3 linked regions of the Nothobranchius furzeri genome follow. The protein of the gene in region 2 interacts with the protein of the main gene of each other region in a pairwise test. Links are inferred from orthologs where the notes say so. Each region holds a gene or a part of one and is shown on either strand. Other genes may lie near its edges.

Region 1 (7,624 bases), on a different chromosome or scaffold from region 2:
AGATCACTGGCCAACAAGATGGAGGAACTCCAAGCCCTTTCAAGGACTCAGCCAGAGTTTCGGCAGTTTCGGAACCGCTGGAGGAGATAAAGCAAAGAAGGATTCTCCAGAGAATCAAGAAAATGATGGACAACCCTGAGCATTCTCTTCACAAGACTGTCCGACAACGGAAGAGTGTCTTCAGTCAGAGGCTTCTTCAGTTCTGCTGCAACACTGACCGCTACTGGAGATCCTTCCTGCCAACAGCCATTGTAATATACAACAACTCTATGATGACTTGATTATTATTATTATTCTGAGCTACTACAGCAATCAATTTCCCTCTGGGATTAATAAAGTATTTTTGAATTTGAATTGAATTGAAAACAAATTACTTATGCCTGTCATTGTCCCCCAAGCTCCAGAAAGCATTTGGTCACTTTCCAGCCTTATGTAACTGCTGCTCTGCAGCATCTAGACGTGCCGCTGGGAAACAAAACAGCCTCCTGTGTCTGCTCACTGTCGTGCTGAGGCCATAAAGATATTTGTGGTTTGTTAAGGAGAGGTGCAAAAACTGTTTGTGCTTCCTGGATGAAGGAATTCTGTTTATTTTAAAGATTCTATGAACTTAAAAAAAATCTGATGCCAAAAGGCCCAACGTATGAAGTCTTTGACATCATCAAAGCAACTTGCTAGAAACAAAACTGCTTGGAAACAATTTGAAATGCGAATATTTTGCTTTAAAAAGGCACTTTTCCTTCCTGTTTGCAGCTCTTATCACGTGATTGCTTTCAAATTGGGGTCACAACCCATCTAACTGCTTGTAAAATCTGAAAATGTGCATTGCATCCTTTCCAACTCCTCTCTGCGCCCCTTTGGCACAATCAAAATGTTGTTATTGCATCAACAGATCACACAACTTCTAAGTTAATTGGAATAATGTGCATTCTGTTCCACATCAGTCGTGGTTTTCGGAGTAAACTCAGATTCAGCAGGAAGCTCTGACGGTCCCAACGGTGTGCACAGGCTTTAGTTTTCTAACCAGGAAACAGTTTCAGCACAGTGAGAAACGTCTGGAGTTGATGTTCATCTTGGTGAGGCCCAGGTGTTTCAGAGGAGTGGACAGGGCGAAGGCGGCCTTCATGGGGATGTCACACAGCAGGTCCGACTCCTCTTCGCACTCCTCCAGCTCGTAGGTGGCGTCGTCCAGCATCTCCTTGTGGCGGTGGCACACCTGCTCCACCTTCAGCCGGTGGATCTCCACACGCAGACGGATCAGCTGACGGGCCAGGCGGTTGTCCTGGACTTGCATCTCCCTCTGAGAGAGAAGAAAGAAAGAAGAACGTTAGTAGGAAGGAACTCTGAAGGGTTTTATCTCATCTTCTTATCAAATATCTGGCGGAGTGAGCTGCAAGCTGAGACTGGGAGGAAGCAGTTATCAGATGTTTCACAAACTCTAGTCTGAGTCATCCTGGATTAATCAGATCATCCATCCTTTCTGAATGAAACTGAAATAAAATGCATTCTTGTTTAGACGGTGACAGATTATAAATGCATTCGTGACCAGGGGGAACTCACGAGCTCTTTCCTCAGAAACTCCAGAGCATCATCAATGGTATCAAAGCCGCAGATGTTGCGCACAGCCAGGTCCGAGTTCTCGCTTCTCAGAGCTGCAGGGACAGAGAAGACGTCTCCTCCAGAGTCGGGACTGTCCTCTGGGTTCCTGTCCGTCCACGGGTGACTCTGGAGTCGCTCCTGCCACTCCAGATAGGACGGTCTGCGCGTCTGCAGCTTCAGCTTCTCCGTCAGCGCTTTGACGCTGTCCAGGTCCTCCGCGTCTCCCTCCGAGCTGTCAGCTCCAAACTCCTGGAAATCCTTCTTCGCAACAGGAGAAAAAGCTTCACGGTTCATGTTGGAGCCGCTCTTTGCTGCGCAACAGGTCCATGAAGCCGTCTTAACAGGGAGAAGTGGAGTGGCCGCCCATCCCGCGGAGGATGGGAGGGGTGGATGATTTAAGAGAGAGAGAGAGAGAGAGAGAGAGAGAGAGAGAGAGAGAGAGAGAGAGAGAGAGAGAGAGAGAGAGAGAGAGAGAGAGAGAGAGAGAGAGAGAGAGAGAGAGAGAGAGAGAGAGAGAGAGAGAGAGAGAGAGAGAGAGAGAGAGAGAGAGAGAGAGAGAGAGAGAGAGAATGCCTAGAATGCTGCACATAATGTTTTTTTTCTATGTTAAATAGTTCACTGTTTTTGAAGTGGGGTTCTGAGGAAAAGTTATGATCAATAATCGATTTCATAGAAAAGCCTCAGTTTAATGAAAAAATATGAAAGAAAAAATGCGCCAATTCTCTCATGTGCTCCAATTGTTTTTGTTTTAATGGCGTTTAAATAGGTTTTAGTTGTTTTAAGCTTGGTGAAGCTTAACAACTTTTAGAGGTTTTTAACAGACGAGGGACCAGAGTGCTGGTTTCCTCTTGGCTCCCAAACTTGTGTGGACTTTGTGTGTGAATGCTTGGGAGCATTCGGATGTCTGTTTTAAACATAAAACCATGGCCTTTTAAACACTGTTTTACGTACTTTTAGATTTGGAGCTTTTTGTCATTTTAAAATCCTTTTAATAAAATCATTGTTTACAATTTTAACACCTGAAGCACACGCCTCTGTGTTACTCTCCGTCCTTCTCCTTATCCACCAATAGAGGACGTTACAATTTTATTTGCATAAACATTTTAAATTGTGTTTAAATGTGTGACATAAAATTACGCTTCATAAAAAAGTTGGTTATTTCTAGGATGGACCGCACAGCTGTTTTGACCACGTGCTCATGCCGCCACCTAGCGGTGATTAAATATGTTGCACACACGCTGCTGCCTGTCCGCTGAACAAATTTTGCCGTTAAAATGAGATCAGACCTCTTGACTCTCAGAGGAAACGCGCACTTCCGTCTTTTGTCACCTCAGCCAGATCATTTTTCTACTTCCACAGCTGCCTGGTGTTCAGCTGGCTGCTGCTGCTGAAACTCAGAAACTTTCTGCGATGATCAGAGAAACATGAAGCGTAAATCTATTTATAGGCTCCTTATCGTGGTGAAGCAAACAGAGCGCTGTCCAACCAGCTCGGGGCGCGTAAGAGGAAGCTTACTTTCATTTTCCCAATCAAAAGGCGAGGAGGGGATTTTTGGTGACAAGGTTTAAAATTAAAAGTCACGAAAGCAGGCGCTGATGGAGTTTTCTGAGCACATCAAGACAGCCAACGTGGAGGATGTTGAGCTCCGGCAGCCGCTGCACCCACCGAGCAGAGGGACCCTCTGCATCACCGGACACCACCTGCTGTTTTCGGACAGGGAGGTGGGCAGCTCCAGGCACGTGCTCTTGCTGCTCAGGAACATTGATGCCATTGAGAAGAGGTGAGGAAGGAGAGGAGGACAGAAAGTCATCATTTTAATTTCTCATTAAACTTCAGATTTCCACAACTTTAAATCAGCTTTTTGCTATGAAATGATTTAACATTTCCCAAAACAAATGAAACCCAATCTGTGACTCTATGTGTAATTTAATCCCTGAAATCTTTTTGAACCAGTGTGGAAAACCTTTTGGGCTATTCCGGCTTCCTCTCTAAAGCAGGCCAGAGTGAAAGGTTAGGACATTGTTGGTGTTGCTGTTTGCTGCTGCTGCCCACAGTGCTGAAGAAGGATGTTTGCTAAAATGATTGCAGCAACTTTTTCTCCCATAACACAAGCTTTTGCATTGCTTGCTGCTGCTTTCCGTCATGTGAAAGCCCTGCTCAGACTCCTCTATGCCTGCCAGTGACAAAAGAGAAAGCAGTTGTTGCACATGCAGTTTGTGGGGATAAGAACGTCCCCTTCCACAGACTGCTGGCTACGTTTGCCTTCCTCTTCGACAAGTTGAGTCTCCTGCACTGCTAAAGCATTGTCCAAAAACAAGGATGTAATTTTCTCTGAAAATCCAAAGTACTGTTTTGTTTTTGTGCAGGATAGCAGCCTCCTCGGGGACCATTACCATCAAGTGCAAAGATCTGCGCGTGCTTCAGCTTGACATCCCAGGCATGGAGCAGTGCCTCAACATTGCACACTCCATTGAGGTATAATGGGTGGTGTTCATCTCGCTGATCAAGCAACTTTTGGATTAGTTCAAAGGTTCAAGCCCCTTTCTTCAGGCTTTCCCCCTTAAGCCACACCTCCAAAACACAGGGATGCAAAATACTTATTCTCGAGGATCCAGAATTGGTTTCAACCCATTGTTGTTAGGTTTTCTCACCATAATTTCTAATGTGATGTGCATGATCATGTGACATTTATTAGGTAGCATAGTGTGTGACATTTTTATGTTTCTTGGTTAATTCTTCATAAACACAGCAGCTCTGTGCCACCAACGGTGTGGGAAGACCCCACAACAGCTCAAAACATTCAGAACCCAACTTGAACCTCCTCAGATGTGCTCTCCTCTCAGATGCCCCCCCCCCCCCCCCCCGACACACACACTCATACACACGCCCAATGACACACTGACAGCTCTGACAGCTGAACATGGACAGGCTGTGTTCACAGACAACAGGTCCGTCACCTTAACGTTTCCCTTTACAAACGACAAACATTCAGTCCGTTACACCAGCTGGCTCTGGTTCAGCTGCTCCAAGCTACAAATGTGTGATTTGTTTCTAAAAGGGGTGTGTGCAGAGGGGTAGAGATGGTCAGAGGGCAGTTTGTTGGATGGATTATGTTCCAGTCATAAAGAAAATGGGATGTTCACAATGACTGGATGAGATTTTCACAGGACAGTACATTTGAAAGGCAAATAAAATCATTCCTTTTGTCGACAAACATTGAATTTATTGAGTGGCATCGGCATGTTTAGAGAATTTTAAGCAATATGTTTAAAAATGCTCCAACTTTGTGCCAACTGCCAACTAACTACCTCTCTTCGTGACTTTCCGTAGACCCTGTCCAGTCTGGACAACGTGTCGGAGATGTATCCTTTCTTCTACAGACCTATTGACCTCAGCCTGCAGGACCAGTGGGACCTTTCCTCACCCGAAGAACACTACAGGCAAAAGACGGAGCTTGTAAGCAACACTTTTCATATTTCTAACATACAGGGATGGGCTTTTTGAATAGACGTATACATTCAACACTCCATATGACAATCCAGCCATCCTATGACAGGAAAATGGCAGGGCGGTTGACTTTAGAGGTCACTAACCAGGATATCCCGGTTGCTTAGCTTTCATTTGTTTTTCCTTAACATCAGAATGTGCTGCACAGCTTGAATTCATATCTTCTGGGGATAGGGGTTGCTATGGTGAGGGGTTGGGTCCTACAGAGGGCATTGTTTTATAGTCTTAAAAAGGCGGGGCGAACGTTCTTGTCTTGAGCTTCGGGGAAAGTCTGATGGAGTTTGCATGGCTACATATTTCTGCTTTGCCTGTTTTTGTTACTAAACGGGGATTTCAGTCTCAGATTAACTTTACTGATCCCTCTGGAAAGGCCCTCTGAGAAATTGTGTTTTCCAGCAGGAGCAGCAGCCACACATATCTAACAGTAGCATGATTGCGTGTAGGATGGAGGAGTTCCTGTAGGTCCTTGACTTTGGCAGAAGCAGCGTGTCACTGACCAGCCTTCTTTGGTTGTTGATCATGGTGTGAAGTTGGTGCCTGGTGTCGTCTCGAATGGACAATCATTTTTTTTAGCGTTCTCTGCTCAGCCACATTCTTTAGAGTCTGGTTTTGAGCCAACCACAGATGTGACCCTCAGCTTCTTCTGCCTGGGTGCATCCTTGTTTTTGTGTCACACCTCCAGCCCATACCGCATGAAAGATTAGGGATGAGGATCAATTTGGGAAGTTTGGAGTTTAATTATTAATTACTTCTGCAAATTGCAAACTGTGACATTTACTTGTTCTCCACAAAACTCTACAAAGAGTGATTTAGTTTGCAAAATTATATTTCAGGCTTACAGTTGTCAAATTTAACGTGCCTTAGTGTTCAGAGGTCATTATTTTCTATAGGATGGCCTTAAATGCTTTGTTTTAAGTCACTGTGTGTTTGAGAGCTCATTCTGTGCTCTGATTGGCTGTTTGGTAGATCAGAAGCTAGGGAGCACAGGACAGCTGTTAAATGACTTTACTATCCAAACTAGTCGTTATGTGCTCATGGCGGTGTAACAGAAACAAGCCTGGTTTGTAAACAAAGATGTTTGAAGAACTTCAGGAAATTTTGCCAGGTGCAGACTGTTAAGTCTTGGATCTTATCAACAATGACACGTCAAACCACAGAGATGAGGTTTGCAAACTGTCCACATAGAGCAGCAGCAGTCTCAATTCTCAATCTCAATCTTGGGAATGTGAAGGAGGCTTGTTGATTTGAGACGAACATCCAGAATCTTCCACTGAGCATTACTTGTGCCTCTGAGGAAAGATTGAACAGCACCAAACTCCTGGATGTGGATCTTCCCAGTCCACCCAGTAACCACCGGTAGAGCCCTGCACGGGCCTAAAATCTGAGCCCGTTTCCGGCCCGGCCCGAGGGGGTGGAGCCCCAGCCCGACCCGGCCCGAAAAGGTTTTCAGGATTCTCTGGCCCGGCCCGAGCCCGACTTTTTTTTAAACAACTAAATGAAAACAAAGTGCGTCAATTCTGACCAATGTGTTAAAAGACGTGCAGGATCCGATCAATTTGTTTTTCCCTCGTTTACCGTCACGGAGATAACTGGCACCGCACTGGCTCTGGTGTAAATCAAGTTAAATTTTACCTCTTTCCAACAATTTTCACAAGAAAACAAAACAGTCAAGAGCAGGGTTTGTGTTGTGTTGACTGGATAGTTCCTGTATTTGACCGTTAATTTTGATGGAGAAAGAATAGAAAAAATTACCCAGACGCATGCATGCATCTTATTCGTTATGCACATTGCAGATGTAGCTAAATCACCCAAGAAAAGATTCCCATCTGAACATCTGACCTGGACACTGCTCAGCGCAGCTGAGCGCGTCGCAGAACCAGAGCGCATGCGGGAAGCTTCCTCCCACTGAAGCGAGTGTTTTCCAAACCCTGTCACTCAGAGAGACTTGTCACTTAGAAAATGTTCCCTGATTATGAAACTTTGGCTGAATAGTACTTGTTCCTGTCTCCAATGTGGCGACGCATCCAGGAGCCGTCTGAGGAGAAGCCCAGAATCTCACATCCTCTTCAGCTCAGAAAGCGCCGATATGATTACGCACAAGCGTGACCCAACCCGGTCTCACAGTAAGACTGGGTTGGAACTGTTCAAGTTTACGCAGACAATCTTTACATAGAATTGACTTACAGATATAAAATTAATTCAGTAAAATATAAAATATTTTATTTGAATATCCATTCATTATTTTACAAGCACAGAGAGCCGCATCAGATGGATGGAAGAGCCGCGGGTTGCCGATCCCTGCTCTAGTTCAAGATATCATTAAAATTCCAAAAGTGCTGAAAAGATTAAAAATGGGGCTTTCCGTGCATATACAATACATTACGGTATCCACCGGGATTCCCCGTCTTGAGCGCAACGAATCACAACACTGATTCAGAGACGTGCCGAGTTTGTCATCCAAAATGCTCCGTTTTATAACTTGAATGGCTGATCAGATTCAAATAATTCCAACGGTTCCTAA
Region 2 (7,502 bases):
TTCTAGCGCGACCTGCCTGCTTCACTTAAGTCACTGCTTATTAAGGTCCATCCAGAATTACTGTGGGAAACGGGTAATAATGGCTCTTTGATGGGAATAGGTTGCCGACCCCTGGATAAGATCTGAGCTGGTAAAACAAAAATCCTCATCAGCAGGCGTTTTTGAAAGTGGGGGGGACACAGCTGCCAATCACAAATTTTGCCGGGGACATGTCCCCGGCGTCCCCGGTTAAAATGACGCCTATGGTCTAAGAGCATAATGACGGGACCCTTAACCGAGCCTACTGCAGGAATCTCACACATGCACCTAGTTAACAGCAACAAAGGTCAGGAAACAACTGATGAACTTCTACGTACCCTTCTCTTCTTCGAAGGTGAGAAGTGCCTGGCCTCCTTGTAGAAGCAAAGTAACTTGCTGGCTGATGGTAAACACTCCTCTGATCAAGTGGTTCATTTCATCAGTGCATTCTTTCTCTTTCATAGGAGCCAGAAACTTCACCTCTGTATGTGGAATCGGAGCATAAATCTGAGCAGAAAAACAGAAATGTTTCTCAGTGTGCAGGTCCTAATGGATGCAGACGAAACCCACTCCTCTGGAGGACTCACATTAAGGATTACATTTATACATCAAGAGGAACTTTGGGCTCTGCAGACCTGCTTCTTCTTATTTTCACTTAAGGACGTTTCAGCATTCAGTTTATTTACAGAATTCTGACACTTCACTGGTTGTGAAGGCAACAGAACCTTCTTTACCTTCTTTCTAGTTGAGACTCATGCACCACCGAGCCTAAAGAGGCAGTCACATTTTCAGACTAAATGCAGTAACAGCTCTCGCCTCTGAGAAGCATATCTGAGAGTCGCTCCTAATGAATTAGACAGGAATGATAAATTAGGTTTGCTCACAAAAGCTGTATCATCTGTAGGTGAATTCACCCCTGAGCTCTAGTCCTGCTTGAGTAATGATGATCTAGTTGATGTTTCGACCGCTACAATTGCAGACTAGATTTCCTCTCTGGACCTGGTGGATGGGTGATAATGCTCTAATGTGCTACAGGAGCAAAAATGGCTTTCTCTGTCATGGCATGTGGGTTTTTGGTTCCGTTTGTTTCTTTTTCAGTCAGCTTCCCACATCCCTCAGTGTTTAAGCATTCAGTATTCATTCATCGGTTTTCCGATCCTACTGTTGTGTTAGCTCGCTCTTTAAATCCTCTTCAACCCTGTTCATGTATTTTTCCTCCTGTTAGTTCCTGATTTTTCATCTTTAAAGCGTTTTTTATGTTTGCCTGCCTGTCTTCTCTGTGGTGACTGTTAGCAGCTAAAGCAGCTAAAAAATCTAAACATGCTACTGGTTTGTGAGCGTTGATCAGAGGCAGCCATATATTTAGTTAATGCCTGGATAAGGTCTGGATTAGAGATTGGAACAAGTCAGGATTAGAATGAGTTAATGGTCTGGTTAAAGCCACTAATAGGTCTCGATTGCAGACTGAAACCAGTAGCATCGGTCTCCAGTCCTGGTCCTGGAGCGCCCCAAGTGGTTTCCCTGCTCCAACACATCTGATTCAATGGTTGAATCCCCTATTCACCAGGCTATGAAGCCTGATGATCCCCCAAATTAGAATCAGGTGTGTTGGAACGGAGAAACAACTAAAACATGCTAGACAGTGGCTAAAAAGAACCAGAGTGCAAGAAGTTGAGTTCAGAGTTAGGCTTAATTACCTTGAATCTCTCTTTCAGTTTGGTAGATTCAGCTCTCTTTGTCTCCAATTGTTTCCGACATTTCCTGAGTTTTTCCTGTAAATCCTGCTTTTTTCTGGAAAGCTGATCGATTTCATCCTTTAGAAGAGGGAAAAAAAAGGTTGTTGAATTTAATGCCTCGTCCACCCAGCAGATGGTATTTTTAATTCCTGTTCTGTGGACAAACGATGTCCTGCCTACCTGCAGCTTGTCCTTCTGCTGCTTGAATTCTTTCTCACAAAGTTTCTGCTTATTCAACTGTTCCATCATCTCCCGTTGGGCCTTTCCCTTGGCTTCATCTTCTTCCAGTTTTTCCAGCAGAAGCCTGGATTTTGTATCTTCAGCTTTCTCTACTTTAGCCTGAAGACAAATTTTCTAGGGTCTATTTCATGCATAATCAACCTTTTGGAGCATCTGAACATATTATATTACTCGTTCCTCATCAAAAACAGCAGAAATGGTTGGACTGTATCTTCTGGAGCTCTCAAAAACCAAGCCAGAATGTGATGAGTGTGTCTGTGACCACGATTTCCCAGACTGCTTGTTGAACCTCTGCCAGTACCAGAGTGGATTTTCAGAACAATTACTTCATCAAATGAGCACCATTCCAACATTAAAACCACCCAAACAAGAGAAACCAAAATGCTAACCGCTACCTGGATAGTTTGGGGGGTGAGTGTAAGGGACGGACTGGGACAATGATGAGCCACACGAAGGACGGACTAATTTTTAAAAACAGATGACATCTCCTTAGTGCCAACAGTAAAATGTTGTCATATTAGCATTAGCTTTAACAGATGTGAATTTTTTGTTATTATTCTAATGCATCAAACAGCAGACAGCACATCCAGTCTGAATGCTATTTTTGAACTCCACAAAGGTCTGATTATACTCAGTCATGGATCTAACAAATAAAACAAGGTCTCAGATTAGCTTGGATGTACATGCAGCATTCATGTTAGGAGTGAGCTAGAGATCTTTTCCTTGGACAGTAAAGCCAGATGAGTGTTCAGCACAGCTCAACTAGTTTATATTCAGTCATTTTAGGTCCCTGATGGTTTTTCCCAAGGACTAAAACCTCCAAAAGACTTCCTCCTTGAGATTCTGAATTTCTTCCATGGAAATCTGAGCCTGAGATCGTACCATCTGACTCAAAAGACTCTCCTCGGGACTCTATAGTGTGTCCCTGGGATTGTTGTGTTCATCTCTTAGACCCTGAAGTCCCACCCTGGGTTGTTTTTATTCAACATACCACATAGTGGTTCACCGTATAACTGCTGTTCATGTGATGTAAACTTAGCCACCGATAGGAGATTTTGACTCTACCGCCCAGCCGCGATTTGTGCAGGATTGTTGTCAAGCTGCAGCTGGTTCAGCTTTGGATGAAAGTAGCGAGAATGTAGTAAGAATTTTACAGTGAGAAAATCCAAAAACAGTCTAATGTTTCCGTCACTTAGGGAGGAAGGTTATACTGAACCATATTTCATATCCAGCTGACTACGGGGTTTGTCAGTTTTTCTCCTTTCAAAACAAAGGAAGGAGGGGCGAAACTACTGTTTACCATAACTGAGTGTGGGGGTGCCGTGTCTCTTGTGAGCTGATACTGCAGCGCTGACAATTATTTTAGTTTTTTATCTACCTCACAGTATTTTCCTGTTGAAAGCAGAGAAGAAAATTAAACCTGTATTCCAATTCATTGCATTTTTTGTGTGTGTGGTAGAAGTATCGGTAATCGCTATCAGCAAGTACTCAGACCCTGGTATTGTATCGGTTTGGAAAAAAGTGGGTGCATCCTGACTTTAGTAGCTAGTTAACGCTAACTCCTTTAAATGCCGTTCTTTTTTTAACACGAACAAGCAGGCTTCCATGTTTTGGGCATAGCTCTGACATCCAGTTGACGCCTCCTGGATGTCTCCCTGGTGAGGTTTTATGGGCGCGTCCAACTGGGAAGAGACCTTAAGGAAGACCCGGGACACGTTGGAGACTATGTCTCACAGCTGGCCAGGGAACGCCTTAGGATTCCCCCGGAACAGCTGGCCCAAGTGGGGAGAGGGATGTCTGGGCCACCCTGCTTATGCTACTGCCCCTGCAACCTGACCCTGGATTAGTGGCCAAAGATGGAAGGATGGAGTTTCTCACCCGGAGCGCCTTCAGCTCTTTAAGGGCCTCCTCGTAGTTGTCCTCCTGTACAGCAGTACTCATCTGAAAAACACAAATGTCACTGCAACCAACTAGTAACAAAAAGCACTAGTTCACTGTCAGAGGAAAAAAACATGAAGCAAGGAGGTAGAGTTGAGATTAGAGTCAAAATGTAGAGGCTACTTCCACAGAAGAACTCAGAACTTTGTTGCAACCCAATTATCCAATTCAGCTTATCTTTGATGTACTATAAAACATTATACAAAGGTCCAGTTTCAAGCCATGACAGCAGTGAATGCAATTTGATTTCTATGATGAACATTCATTAATAAATGCCAGTTAATCGAAGAGAAACTGACTCGGAGCTGTATGAACTATTTGTTTTGGAGTGCGAAAGTCCAAACTTCAAAAGAAGAATTACAAAAGTAAAAGTCCCCCGTCATAGTAATAAACAGAAAGCTGGCCAAAATAAAACTTAAATGTGAACCCTTTTACTCTAACCACCTTACCTCGGTGTTTATTGTTTTCGTTTAATTACTTCCGATGTGACAAGAAACAAAGATTTGAAAAGTCCAAAAGAACTCTTGTTTACAGTAAAATGTCAAAACCAAAAGTGAAAGTTAAGACCGACGTGGGGCGGAAGTATACAGCGCGGATGGATATAGCAGAAAAAAGTAGAAAAACTAGTCCAGCTGATGCCAAATGAAAAAGAAACGGTGATTAGGGACACAGGGCCTAAAATAGATATAAAAGTGATCCTTGGAAAAAGGCCGTTGCTTTAGGACAGAAAAAAAAGCATGTCCCCTGCGGACCGGGGCCATGGAGCTAATAATGTAGTAATACTTTTTCTCGAAATATTGAAAGTCATATTATGGTAAATTATAATGTTATTATGGAAAGTCACATTATGGTAAATTATGATGGTGATTTTTTCGCCACTACCCTGTTGGGAGGCCAGTCATTAGTTAGGTATCTAAAAATAAATCTGGACAAAACCAGACTGCGACTTTGCCGCATGGCGGACGTGATGATGTGCTCTTTCTTTATACAACATAAAACAAACAGATGACAAAAATATAATAATAGAGTTTACAGATAGGGACAGACGCACGTGCGTCAGCGAGCGTGACCCACAGTAGGAAGAGGACTGCGTGCGCATGCGTACCAGTGTGATCAACAGTGAAGCTGACAGGAATAACCGTGTGTCGGAGATGCGTTGGTTCCAGGGCTCCATTCCTGACGCCATCAGCTATGCTAAACAGCGCACCTTTATCTTTGTGGTTGTTATCGCAGGTACTGTTGTCCTGGTTTCCCGCGTTCATTTACGGGATTTAGTGCTAACATAAAGCTAGCAACGGCTACTAGCCCTTAGCTTAAGTCAGCAGTCAGTAACAACTTCCGGTCAAAGAACTGGAGGGTCATGATCTGGTTCTACCTTTGAGTCAGATCAGAATCAGCCTCTGGGTTCGGGTCAGACCCATATCCTTGTTACCTGTTGAGTTTCCTACAGCCGAAGTCCTCTAGAAGCTGAATGATGACGTCTAGGTGTAGGAGACTTGATTCAGGGTCTGAGGGATCAGGCTTAGCACTGGGTCAGGGTCCGGGCCGAGCCTGATGTCAGCAGATTAACTGTTAACCATTGCAACATTCTGTTTCGGTGATAGAATACAAAGATTCACCACGTCTCGTGTTTCACTATTTTTGTCTCGTGTCTCAGGGGATGATGAGCAGTCAGCGCAGCTGATGTCTACCTGGGAGGACCAGCGTGTCTCAGAGGCGGCTGAGAGCTGCTGTGTGGCCATCAAAGTGGACGCCAGCAGGTAGGGACAATGTTTGTTTGACTTGCTGCTTTTACTACAAAGTCAGATCATGTTTGGGCACTTGTTGGTCGGCATCAACTTAAACTAAACCATTAAATATTCCACTATGATGGTTCTACCTGGAGTTCTGTTATGGTGATGTGGAGCTGAGTCTATGCTACCATGGTAACCTATATTCTACCTGGAGTTCTGTCATGGTGATGTGGAGCTGAGTCTATGCTACCATGGTAACCTATACATCCGTTTCATGATTATCTTGAGCAGAGATGGAGAATCCTGGTCCCCTGAGGGCCATCATCCTACATGTTTTAGCTGTTTCCCAGATTTGATTTTAATCAGCAGGGGTCTCATTTATCAAACATTGCGTAGAATCCTTACTAAAACCGTACTTAAGTTCAGCAAAAAAAAAAAAAAAGTACTTATGCCAAGTAGGTTTGTGATCTATCAAACATGGAGTACGCACAGCTGCACACAATCTCCGCTTCATAAATCGGAGACTGACGAGAAAGTTTCTCAGCTGCATTTTAGTCACATCCCACCCTCACCACACCCACTTACTGCCATAAATAATCAATGCAAAGTGCCTTGTGGATTCAAAATTCTATTCAATTCAAAGATACTTAATTGATCCCAGAGGGAAATTAGAGTTTCAGTACACACAATTCTGAGATTAGACATACAGTACATACATAGACTCATAAGAATTGGTGACTGTGGTCATTCGCAACCCGAGTTGCGCTACCTTAATAATAGATCAAGAGGGTTTATATGAGGATAGAGTCGGGGGAGGGAAAAAAATGCACTTCAGAGTTACCCCGGCTTTCCACTGGAGCCGTCAGCAGCGCGAGTCGGCCGCGTCTCAGGAGCAGCATGTCGCAGCCTTTACGCGCCGGTTCTATTTTCTACGCGCGACGCCTCTGAAACGGGACATGTTCGACATTTTTGGGAAGGAAAGACAGGAAATCGAACGCGGAAATGGAGAGAAGCTTCCGAGATTTTCAGAATAAAGAAACGTACTGCCTTCCGGTTGCTTTACTTTAAAAAAAGTTACTAAATGTGCGGCCCCGTGAGAAGTTATCACCTAGCTAGCGGTCTCCTTTGTTTTTCAGGTCCGTATTGGCGATTATAAAACGGACAGAACATAAAACACAAACCTTTTGGAGCCATGTTGTAGTTTTCTCCTGCTTGTTGTTGTGTTTACTGATGAAGTTGTTGTGTGACTTCATGCTCGGTCGGTGACAGCTGCTCCCCTGCTGCTTCGCATCTCGTGGGAAGGGCCAAGCAGCAGTTTACGCGAGCAAGACGTGCTGCTGGAGGCTCCTGTGGAAAGCTGGGGTTACCCTCCACAGAGAGGGCAGCTTTGCTATGCAAAAAATCACCTCAGACAGAAATGCATACAGACTTCAGACATTACACAACATAAGTGTCCACTAGGTGGGGAGGTAGGGTTGGAAACTCTCCTTACTTCAGTGCGTGCACCCACAGATGGCAGCGTTTATCACCTCCGACTGGACAGGGAAGGGAGATAAAATGGGTTAGCGAGCACATTGACTCCTAGATACGGTTCCACGGCCTTCACCAGTCACAGTCCCGCCCAGGCTGAGATAGGCGAGAAAGTTACCATGGCGATGGCAGCATTCCACATTTCTTCTGAGGGGGAGTAATCACTTCAGCCTCACAGGCGTCAAGGGCACCAGATTCAGATAACAAATTGTTTTGGGGACAGACCGAGATAATTTCCTCTCTGCCCTAATGTTCTGTTGGTCCTCAACCCCTCTAGATCCAATAATGGCGTGAATTAATCTATTCC
Region 3 (7,485 bases), on a different chromosome or scaffold from region 2:
ACTCTTGATATAGATTTTTTAAATCCCCATAAACACATTTTATTGTTTATATCCTGTGCTTGTTTAGGTATTGTGTTTGGCCAGACGTATGCTGAGCGAGTGATCACCGACCTTGAGGAGCGGAGGACTAGATCTCTGCAGGACGTAGCTTTGGTGCGCAGAGAGTTTGGGCAGTATGTGGACAAGCGCTCAGGTTGTGACTTGTTACCTTTGCCCCCCCGCCTGGTTTCGGAGGCTCTGGGCAGGTCGCACAGTGATGAAGCCGTGGTGAGAGGCGGGAGGCAGTTCCTGCTGCCTTTAATCACTCGCATGGAATTCAAATACCAGCAGGAAGAGCCAGAGGCAGACGCAGCTTCAAACCCCTACAACGCAACCCTAAAAGGATATGTGAGCCGCAGAAGGGATGAGACGGTTGCCTTTCTAAACGAGAGAGATTTTAAAACCAGTGTGATGTACGAGAGCGCCCAGAGACAGGGAAGGCTGGAGAGGGATTATCGTAGAATAGAAGGGCTTCCTTCGTCTCCGTCACCTCGTGGAAGGGCCAGGCGAACCCCTACGGCCAAGGACAGGTTCTCCATCGTACCCGGTGGAGCAGTTACTTTATTAAAGTGAACTCATAAGCCAAGCATCCAGAGTTCAAATCTGCACTTTTACTGCTGTGAAAACACATGTTTTTTTTTTTATTAAAACGAGTTTACATAAGGGGTTGAGACTCCTAACCAACCTTAATAGTTTACAAAACATGTTTCAAGTAATACCTCAGGAAGTGTTTTCCACCGGCATGTAGAAAAACCGCTCAGTTCTATTCTTGATTTTGGTGAAGCCAGAACAGACTTGGAGGGCTACAGCAGGTTCTGTAACCATCAGACGTCACCGTTCTCTGTGGTCGCAAATCATTACATTTTGTTTTCCAAGGCTCAAATCTTTTAGAGGAAGTGATTATCTGTTACATTCTAGGTCCAGGGTTGTGTGTGAGCACCAGCTGGCTGTGACCCAGTAAAGAACCTCACATGATGAACGGTAACGTGTTGCCTACATTTTTAAGAGTAAGATTTGGGAAACAAAATCCAGAGAAAACTGAAAGTGTAAGGAAATGTTTATTTTCTATTATACAGGTCCCATATCCATAGTTTTGAATGCCATAATTAATCATACCATAAGGATCAAAGTGCTTGTTTAGGTCTAACAGTGTACTAGAACAGAATTTTGTGTTTTCCAACCTTTAAAATGCTTCAGAGCAAATTCTACTGAGTTTCCTTCTCATCTGTTTGTGGATTGGAAGCTGAAAGAAGTCTTGATTTTGTTTAATCAGTGCAGACTGATGGATCCCTTTACATCAGCCTTTTAACAGTGGGTAAATACATTGTTTTCTAAAGTTCACGACTCTAAAACAAAAGCAGATCAGCAGCCAGAGGATGTAAAGATCAACTGCTGCAATGTGATGTAACCGAGGCACATCTAGTGCAGCTCCCTCACAACGGTGCTGGAAATGGAGAAGAAGCATTGCACATATTAAGAGATGAAGGGCTACTCCTCAATGGAGCGGATGTATCTTTCATATGCTGGTTCATCCATCAGACTGTCAAGCTCAGCAGGATTAGCAATTGTCATCTTCATCAGCCAGCCTGTGAGGAAAGCCAGGGTTAGCTGGGATTCAAAGGCAAACATGCTTGAACTGATCAGTGACGTGCTGCTGATGAAGGTCTGTGAGGGCTTTAGTACTTAAGCGAGTTTAAAAATACAATCATAAGGAGAGGCACAAGAATCTCTGTAGATGCTTAGCGTGATGACATCCACGTGGATCAGGAGCTGCGGAACCTAGCCTCAGGCTTAAACTGTACTGCCACCTACTGTCCAACCTTGGAACCTGAGAGCTCATGAAAATAAAGTTGGGAAACAGAATTGTTGAATTGTTTGTGTCAATACTTTAACTGGATACATATGAAAACAACAACTTAAGCAGTTATTTATATAAATAGAAAATAATCAGGTGTGAATATGAGGATTAATTAGTGCAACTTGCAAATTTACACCAGTTATCAGTAGTTTCTCATAAGCTCTGTCAAATTTCCATTCTTGTTTAGTTGGTCCATTTCAGAAGAACAATGGTTGTAAATAAAAAATTTGCAAAACTGTGCAAACAAAAAAACATTATTCTTTTCTACAATTTAAAATCTACCCATTAACACACAGATTATTACTTTAAAATTGGGAATATATCGGCATCGATATCTGTATTTTTATCATATCTGTATCGGTCTGATAAATAAAACCGAGCCGATATTAACGACCAATATTTTTTCCATCTTGTCTACATTTGTTTCCCTGTTTCAGAGGGTGAGGGGGGTGATGTGCATTTGTTTAGTCATGTGAGCAGTGAATGAAATCATCTCAGGAGCATAACTGTGTGTGGTGTGTGTACATAAAATGGTAAATTCAGCTTTAATCATTTTTTACACAAATCTGCCGATTTTAGAAGCAATCAGTATCGGCAATTATTGGTTATCGGTCATAACAGTGATCTAAATATCTGTATCGACCCAAAATTTCATATCGGTGCATCACCACTTTAAAAACTTACCATTTTCAAAGACCTAAATGAGCTAAATAAACTGAATAATGTGTACAAAATTACCATCTTTGTAGCAAGACTTGTTGACCAGACCAGGGTTGTCCGCCAGCAACGTGTTGACCTCTACAACTTCTCCAGTCAAAGGTGAATAAAGCTCACTGGCTGCTTTCACACTTTCCAGGGCTCCAAACTCATCTATGACAGTGTGACAAACAAAAATATTTATCATCAGCTTTATTTGTATTGCACTTAACAATCCAAACGATACCACAGGATTTACACCAAAAATGAGTCATTTTGGAAATGAAACACACTCAATAAGGTTGCATTATGAGGTCAAAGCAGCTCTGTAAATATTTACAAACATGAGCCATTTATCACAAGACTTCGATGTCAATTATATCACAAAACCTGAAAACAAAAACAACTTAGAAATATTTGTTTACAGTACAGTATTGTTGATTTTTACCGAAGATCAAATAAGCATTTATAACAACACAACAATAAAAATTAATTCTAATGGCAAATTCAACTACTGTTTGTCTGATTGATTGGTTGCAATTTTTATTATGGCAGAAAAAGAAACACCACCTACATACACCTTAATTTATGGACAGTTTCCTGTTAAATAAAAACTGGCTCTTGCCTTGAAAAATCTCATAACTGTAAATAAAATGACACAAAAGTGTATATTTTAATCTATGATTAAATAATGTCAAAGCTAGAGATGAATTTTAAATCTAACCTTTTCATTAATAAAAAAATCAAACGATAGGAGTGTAAGAAAATATCAATACACAGAAATATAGCAATATGTTGTGATACTGACTCGATATTCGTGAAGCAGTGCATCGACTGTTATTGAAAATTTACAGTATTCATTTAAATTATTCCGTTTTTACATCCTTCATCCTGACAGGAGATCTCACCATTACACCGGATGTGTCTTGGAAGAGCCTGGCCTGGGGTTTCCAATTAATTTCAGGCTAAAATTTTGCAAATATCATCTGGATTTGAGTATCACACTATGTCACATCATCTCCCTGATATATCATATCTCTAGATTCGTGCCAATACACACCTATGTACGGCACAGAGGATTTAGCTTTTTCCCCCATTTGCACCAAAGAGTGTAAACAGATTTTTCATGCGGCTGTTTATACTTTCAGAATCATAATCTTAAAATGAATTTTGAAGTGGTGGGGAGTCTGGATTAATTTTAGTTATAGAGATTAAACAGAAGTGGCCTAAATGTAGTTCAGCAGAGAATACACACACACACACACACACACACACACACACACACACACACACACACACACACACACACACACACACACACACACACACACAAATGGCTCTGAAAATCTGAATCGGTGAATGTAGAACATTGAAAATTAGTTTTCGTGTTGTCGATGCAAACATCTCAAATATAACTGGATAATGCAACAGCATTCAAACAAATGAAGGATTTTATTGTTTTAATATGAAAAGGGCTCTGTGAGAGCCAGCAAACCCACGAGGGACACTTCATACCTTGCTGTGCCAGCTGTGTTCCCACCTCTGGTAGTCCACAGTAAACTACATCTCCCAGAGCCTCCTGCGCGCGGTCAAAAACAAGATCAAAGGTAACTAAAACATGTACTTTAGCACGTTTATCTAACTGTGCACGCGCGCAGTTGGGAAACTTACTTGTGCAAAGTTGCTGATACCGACTGTACCTACTCCGTCATCTTCTACTCGAATCCATTCATGCTTGTCTGTGAATTTAAGTGCTGCGAAACAACACAACTCGGTCAGAGATCTGTGCAAAAGTCATTGAAACACACCACTACCCGCAGCAGCGCCGCCAAATGAAGCGTCTTTCCATTTGGCTAACGGTAACCTTCTGCTAACCAACGTGTTAGCAGAAGCTACTCTAAAACCGATTCATAGAGAAATACCTGCTGATATTCGGCTAGAAGAGGCTAGCGTTCTTCCAAAATAAGGCTTAGGGGCCAGCTGTAACGGACAACGCGATGCCGAGCGAGTGAGTAAAGGCAAAACTGTGGAAAAGTTGGAAGAGAAAGAACGGAGCAGCACACAGACGGCCATCTCTGTCGCTTACTGATGAGAAGAAGGTCGATTTGTTCTGTGTTGCTGTTGGAAACAGCAGCGGCGTTTTGCTCCCACCTACTGGTCAAAGTTAGGCACGACAAGCGAACGGGGACTTCCTCCTGAACGTGAAAACACATTTTTATTCGTTTGTTTTATTTATTTTATGTAACCTTCATTTAGCCAGATGAGTCGATTGAGAATTCATTCTCATTTACAACGACGATCTGGCCAAGAGGCAGCAGCAGCAGACACATAAGTAGCTTTATACCAAAGAAAAACAGAAAATAAAAACAAACAAGATCAAAATGAGATAAAGACAGTTAGATATAAAGACAAAGGACTTAAAACAATCTTTTAGCACTCAGAAGCAGGCACATTGACCAGAAACTATTGATTGCAATGGATTTGTCTTTTCACATAATTAAGAGAAGAGAATTAAATAAAACATATGATTCAACATATGTAAAACTATTTATAAGTGGGCTAAAATTCAAAGGAACATGTATTTAAAATTTTATGGGTAATATAGCAGCCTGAATTTAAAAAAATACTTCCTCTTCCCAAAGAAGTTGGGATGAACTAGGGTGTTGTCTTTACTTTGAAGGGATTTTTCATTTTGACTGTCTGAGATCATTATTTAAATTTAAATATCTGAATTATTTTGTTGAATAAATCAAATCAAGCAAGCTAATATTAATCTTGTTAGTTTTGTACTTTTTATTGTCATTTCTTTGCAGATTCTTTCAAAGGATGTTGATAAACGTTTGCCTTGCAGCAAGATCTCCATTGCACAGACCCTTCTCTGTCACATTTATGCTTTGTTGTCACTTGAATTTGCTTTTTTCTGCTGGTAATTTAAAAAAAATCTCAAGAGGGATGTACGCAGAAGATTTTTTACTAAAGTAGTCCAAATCTTGCCAGTCATCAGCAGATCTAGCAGAACTTAAGAAGCCTTTTTAAATAATACTGAAACAGCTTTAAGAACCAAGAAAGGAAGGCTGATTTCTTTAATGCACCATGATCTGGATGATTGAGAATGTTACACAGTGGGGAAAAAAGTAGCATTTGGCAGCAACCAGTTATGCAAGTCGTTCCACTTAAAATATGAGAGATCTGTAATTTGCAACATAGGCGCACTTCAACTGTGAAATACTGAATGCAATAAAAAAATTCTAGGAAATCACTGTATGATTTTTAAAATATTTATGTTCTGCAGAAAATAAGTATCAAGCATCTACAAACAAGCAATAGTTCTGGCCCTCACAGACCTGTTACTTCTTCAGGAAGTTTCTCAGTCCTCCACTCGTTAGCTATAAAAAAGGCACCTGATCAGATGTTCAAACATTCACACGCCAACCTCCACCATGGCTAAAATCAGTCAACAAATTGGTCATGTAACTTCTGCGGTCAAGTCAAACTTGAAGAACTTGGGTGTTGTTTTTGACCGATCATTGTTCCTTAAAGCCACTCAAAAACATTGGTCCGAAACTGTTTTTATCATTTGAGAAATGTCTCCAAACTGCGAACGCTGGTGTCAAAGCATGAACTTGAAATGGTCATCCATGCCTTTATCTCCTTCCATCTAGATTACTGTAACACATTCCAGATGAAAAAAGCCATTGACTACCTTCAGTTGGTCCAGAACTCTGCAGAGAGGCTCCTAACTGGAGCAAACAGAAGAGCACACATCACTCCTATTCTGATGTCTCTGCACTGGTTACCCGTTAACTTTAGAGTTCATTTTAGAATCCTGATTATAACTTTCAATGCTCTACATGGTCAAGCTCCTCCCTACATTACTGAACTGTTAAAGCCTTCTGCTCCAACCCGAGCCCTCAGGTCCACACACCAGAACCTCCCAGAAGTTCCAAAGACCCGATATAAAAGTCAAGGCGATTGCTCTTTCACACTGTTCATCCTCTACTTTGGAGTGATCTTTTATTTTTATGTTGTGTTGACAGACTGGACACCTTTATAGAGCAGCTGAAGACCCTTTTATTTGTTTTCTTCATTTGTACAATGGCCTTATCTGATTAATCATCTTTTATTTGTTTTATGTGTTGTAGTTTTGATTTATGACCATTTTATTTAACATTTTGTTTTAAAATGTGCTTTTCTGATTTTAATTATCTTTCATTTGTTTTTTGATATATGTTTTTTGGACTTTATGATCATTTCATGATTTTATGACTTTACTGTTTATTTTGTTGATCTTTGTGATTTTCCTTTCTGTGATAAATGCTATATAAATAAACCTTTCTTACCAAGACCAGAGAGCTGTCTATGAACACCAGAGACAGGATTTTACACCTGGGCTGTGAGACTAAAACTGGGATGAGCCAATAGTCAATCAGCTTGGTGAGAAGACATCAACTGTTGGATAAAATGGAATAAACACAAGATCACTGACAGTCTCCCTCGACCTGGAACTACATGCAAGATCTCACTTCGTGGGGTACAAATGATCTTGAGGCTGGAAGAGGAGCGGGATGACGTGGGTGTGTTCGGAAAACTCTGTCAGAAGCAGAGCACAGGGATGCAGAACCACCTGTAAACGGTTCAGGGAAGTTTTTCTCAGGCAAGTGAAAAGCGAGTTGCAAAAGTCCACGCATGAGGAAATGAAGGTGTTGATAACAATCTCAAGTTCAGAACGCGACTTAGTTAAGAAATGTTCCTGAGATGAAAGAAGAGCAAACAAGAGAACTGACATGGGAATCCAGAGTGGGTCAAAGGCCACACCAAGAATCCCGACAGAGGGTTTGGTGAGAGAAGCTAGCTGCAAGAACACCATTCCCACTGTGAAGCATGGGGGTGGA

The links. The genes of interacting proteins can lie anywhere in the genome.
Region 1: the proteins of nmi (region 2) and zgc:154055 interact in binary tests that used the Homo sapiens proteins (3 or more experiments, as listed by UniProt). The two-hybrid records come from large-scale screens. The link is inferred for Nothobranchius furzeri from reciprocal best matches to the Homo sapiens genes NMI and MTMR9.
Region 3: the proteins of nmi (region 2) and glycine cleavage system H protein, mitochondrial interact in binary tests that used the Homo sapiens proteins (3 or more experiments, as listed by UniProt). The two-hybrid records come from large-scale screens. The link is inferred for Nothobranchius furzeri from reciprocal best matches to the Homo sapiens genes NMI and GCSH.

What each region holds. Positions count from the first base shown.
Region 1 is NC_091758.1:35,743,342-35,750,965, reverse strand, and holds the start of zgc:154055 (myotubularin-related protein 9), read left to right. Parts: upstream 1-2,918; 5' UTR 2,919-3,191; coding exon 3,192-3,376; intron 3,377-3,549; coding exon 3,550-3,606; intron 3,607-3,962; coding exon 3,963-4,071; intron 4,072-4,926; coding exon 4,927-5,052; intron 5,053-7,624. Other genes in the region: protein FAM167B, read right to left, coding at 1,034-1,297, 1,558-1,890. UniProt on the Homo sapiens protein: Acts as an adapter for myotubularin-related phosphatases. Increases lipid phosphatase MTMR6 catalytic activity, specifically towards phosphatidylinositol 3,5-bisphosphate and MTMR6 binding affinity for phosphorylated phosphatidylinositols.
Region 2 is NC_091746.1:33,694,958-33,702,459, forward strand, and holds the start of nmi (N-myc-interactor), read right to left. Parts: upstream 4,511-7,502; 5' UTR 4,382-4,510; intron 3,936-4,381; coding exon 3,873-3,935; intron 2,094-3,872; coding exon 1,935-2,093; intron 1,833-1,934; coding exon 1,716-1,832; intron 526-1,715; coding exon 357-525; intron 1-356. Other genes in the region: ubxn4 (UBX domain-containing protein 4), read left to right, coding at 5,030-5,165, 5,590-5,692. UniProt on the Homo sapiens protein: Acts as a signaling pathway regulator involved in innate immune system response.
Region 3 is NC_091744.1:70,841,902-70,849,386, forward strand, and holds glycine cleavage system H protein, mitochondrial, read right to left. Parts: upstream 4,707-7,485; 5' UTR 4,667-4,706; coding exon 4,516-4,666; intron 4,348-4,515; coding exon 4,265-4,347; intron 4,173-4,264; coding exon 4,109-4,172; intron 2,768-4,108; coding exon 2,636-2,767; intron 1,626-2,635; coding exon 1,528-1,625; 3' UTR 1,079-1,527; downstream 1-1,078. Other genes in the region: si:ch1073-390k14.1 (deoxyribodipyrimidine photo-lyase), read left to right, coding at 68-612. UniProt on the Homo sapiens protein: The glycine cleavage system catalyzes the degradation of glycine. The H protein (GCSH) shuttles the methylamine group of glycine from the P protein (GLDC) to the T protein (GCST).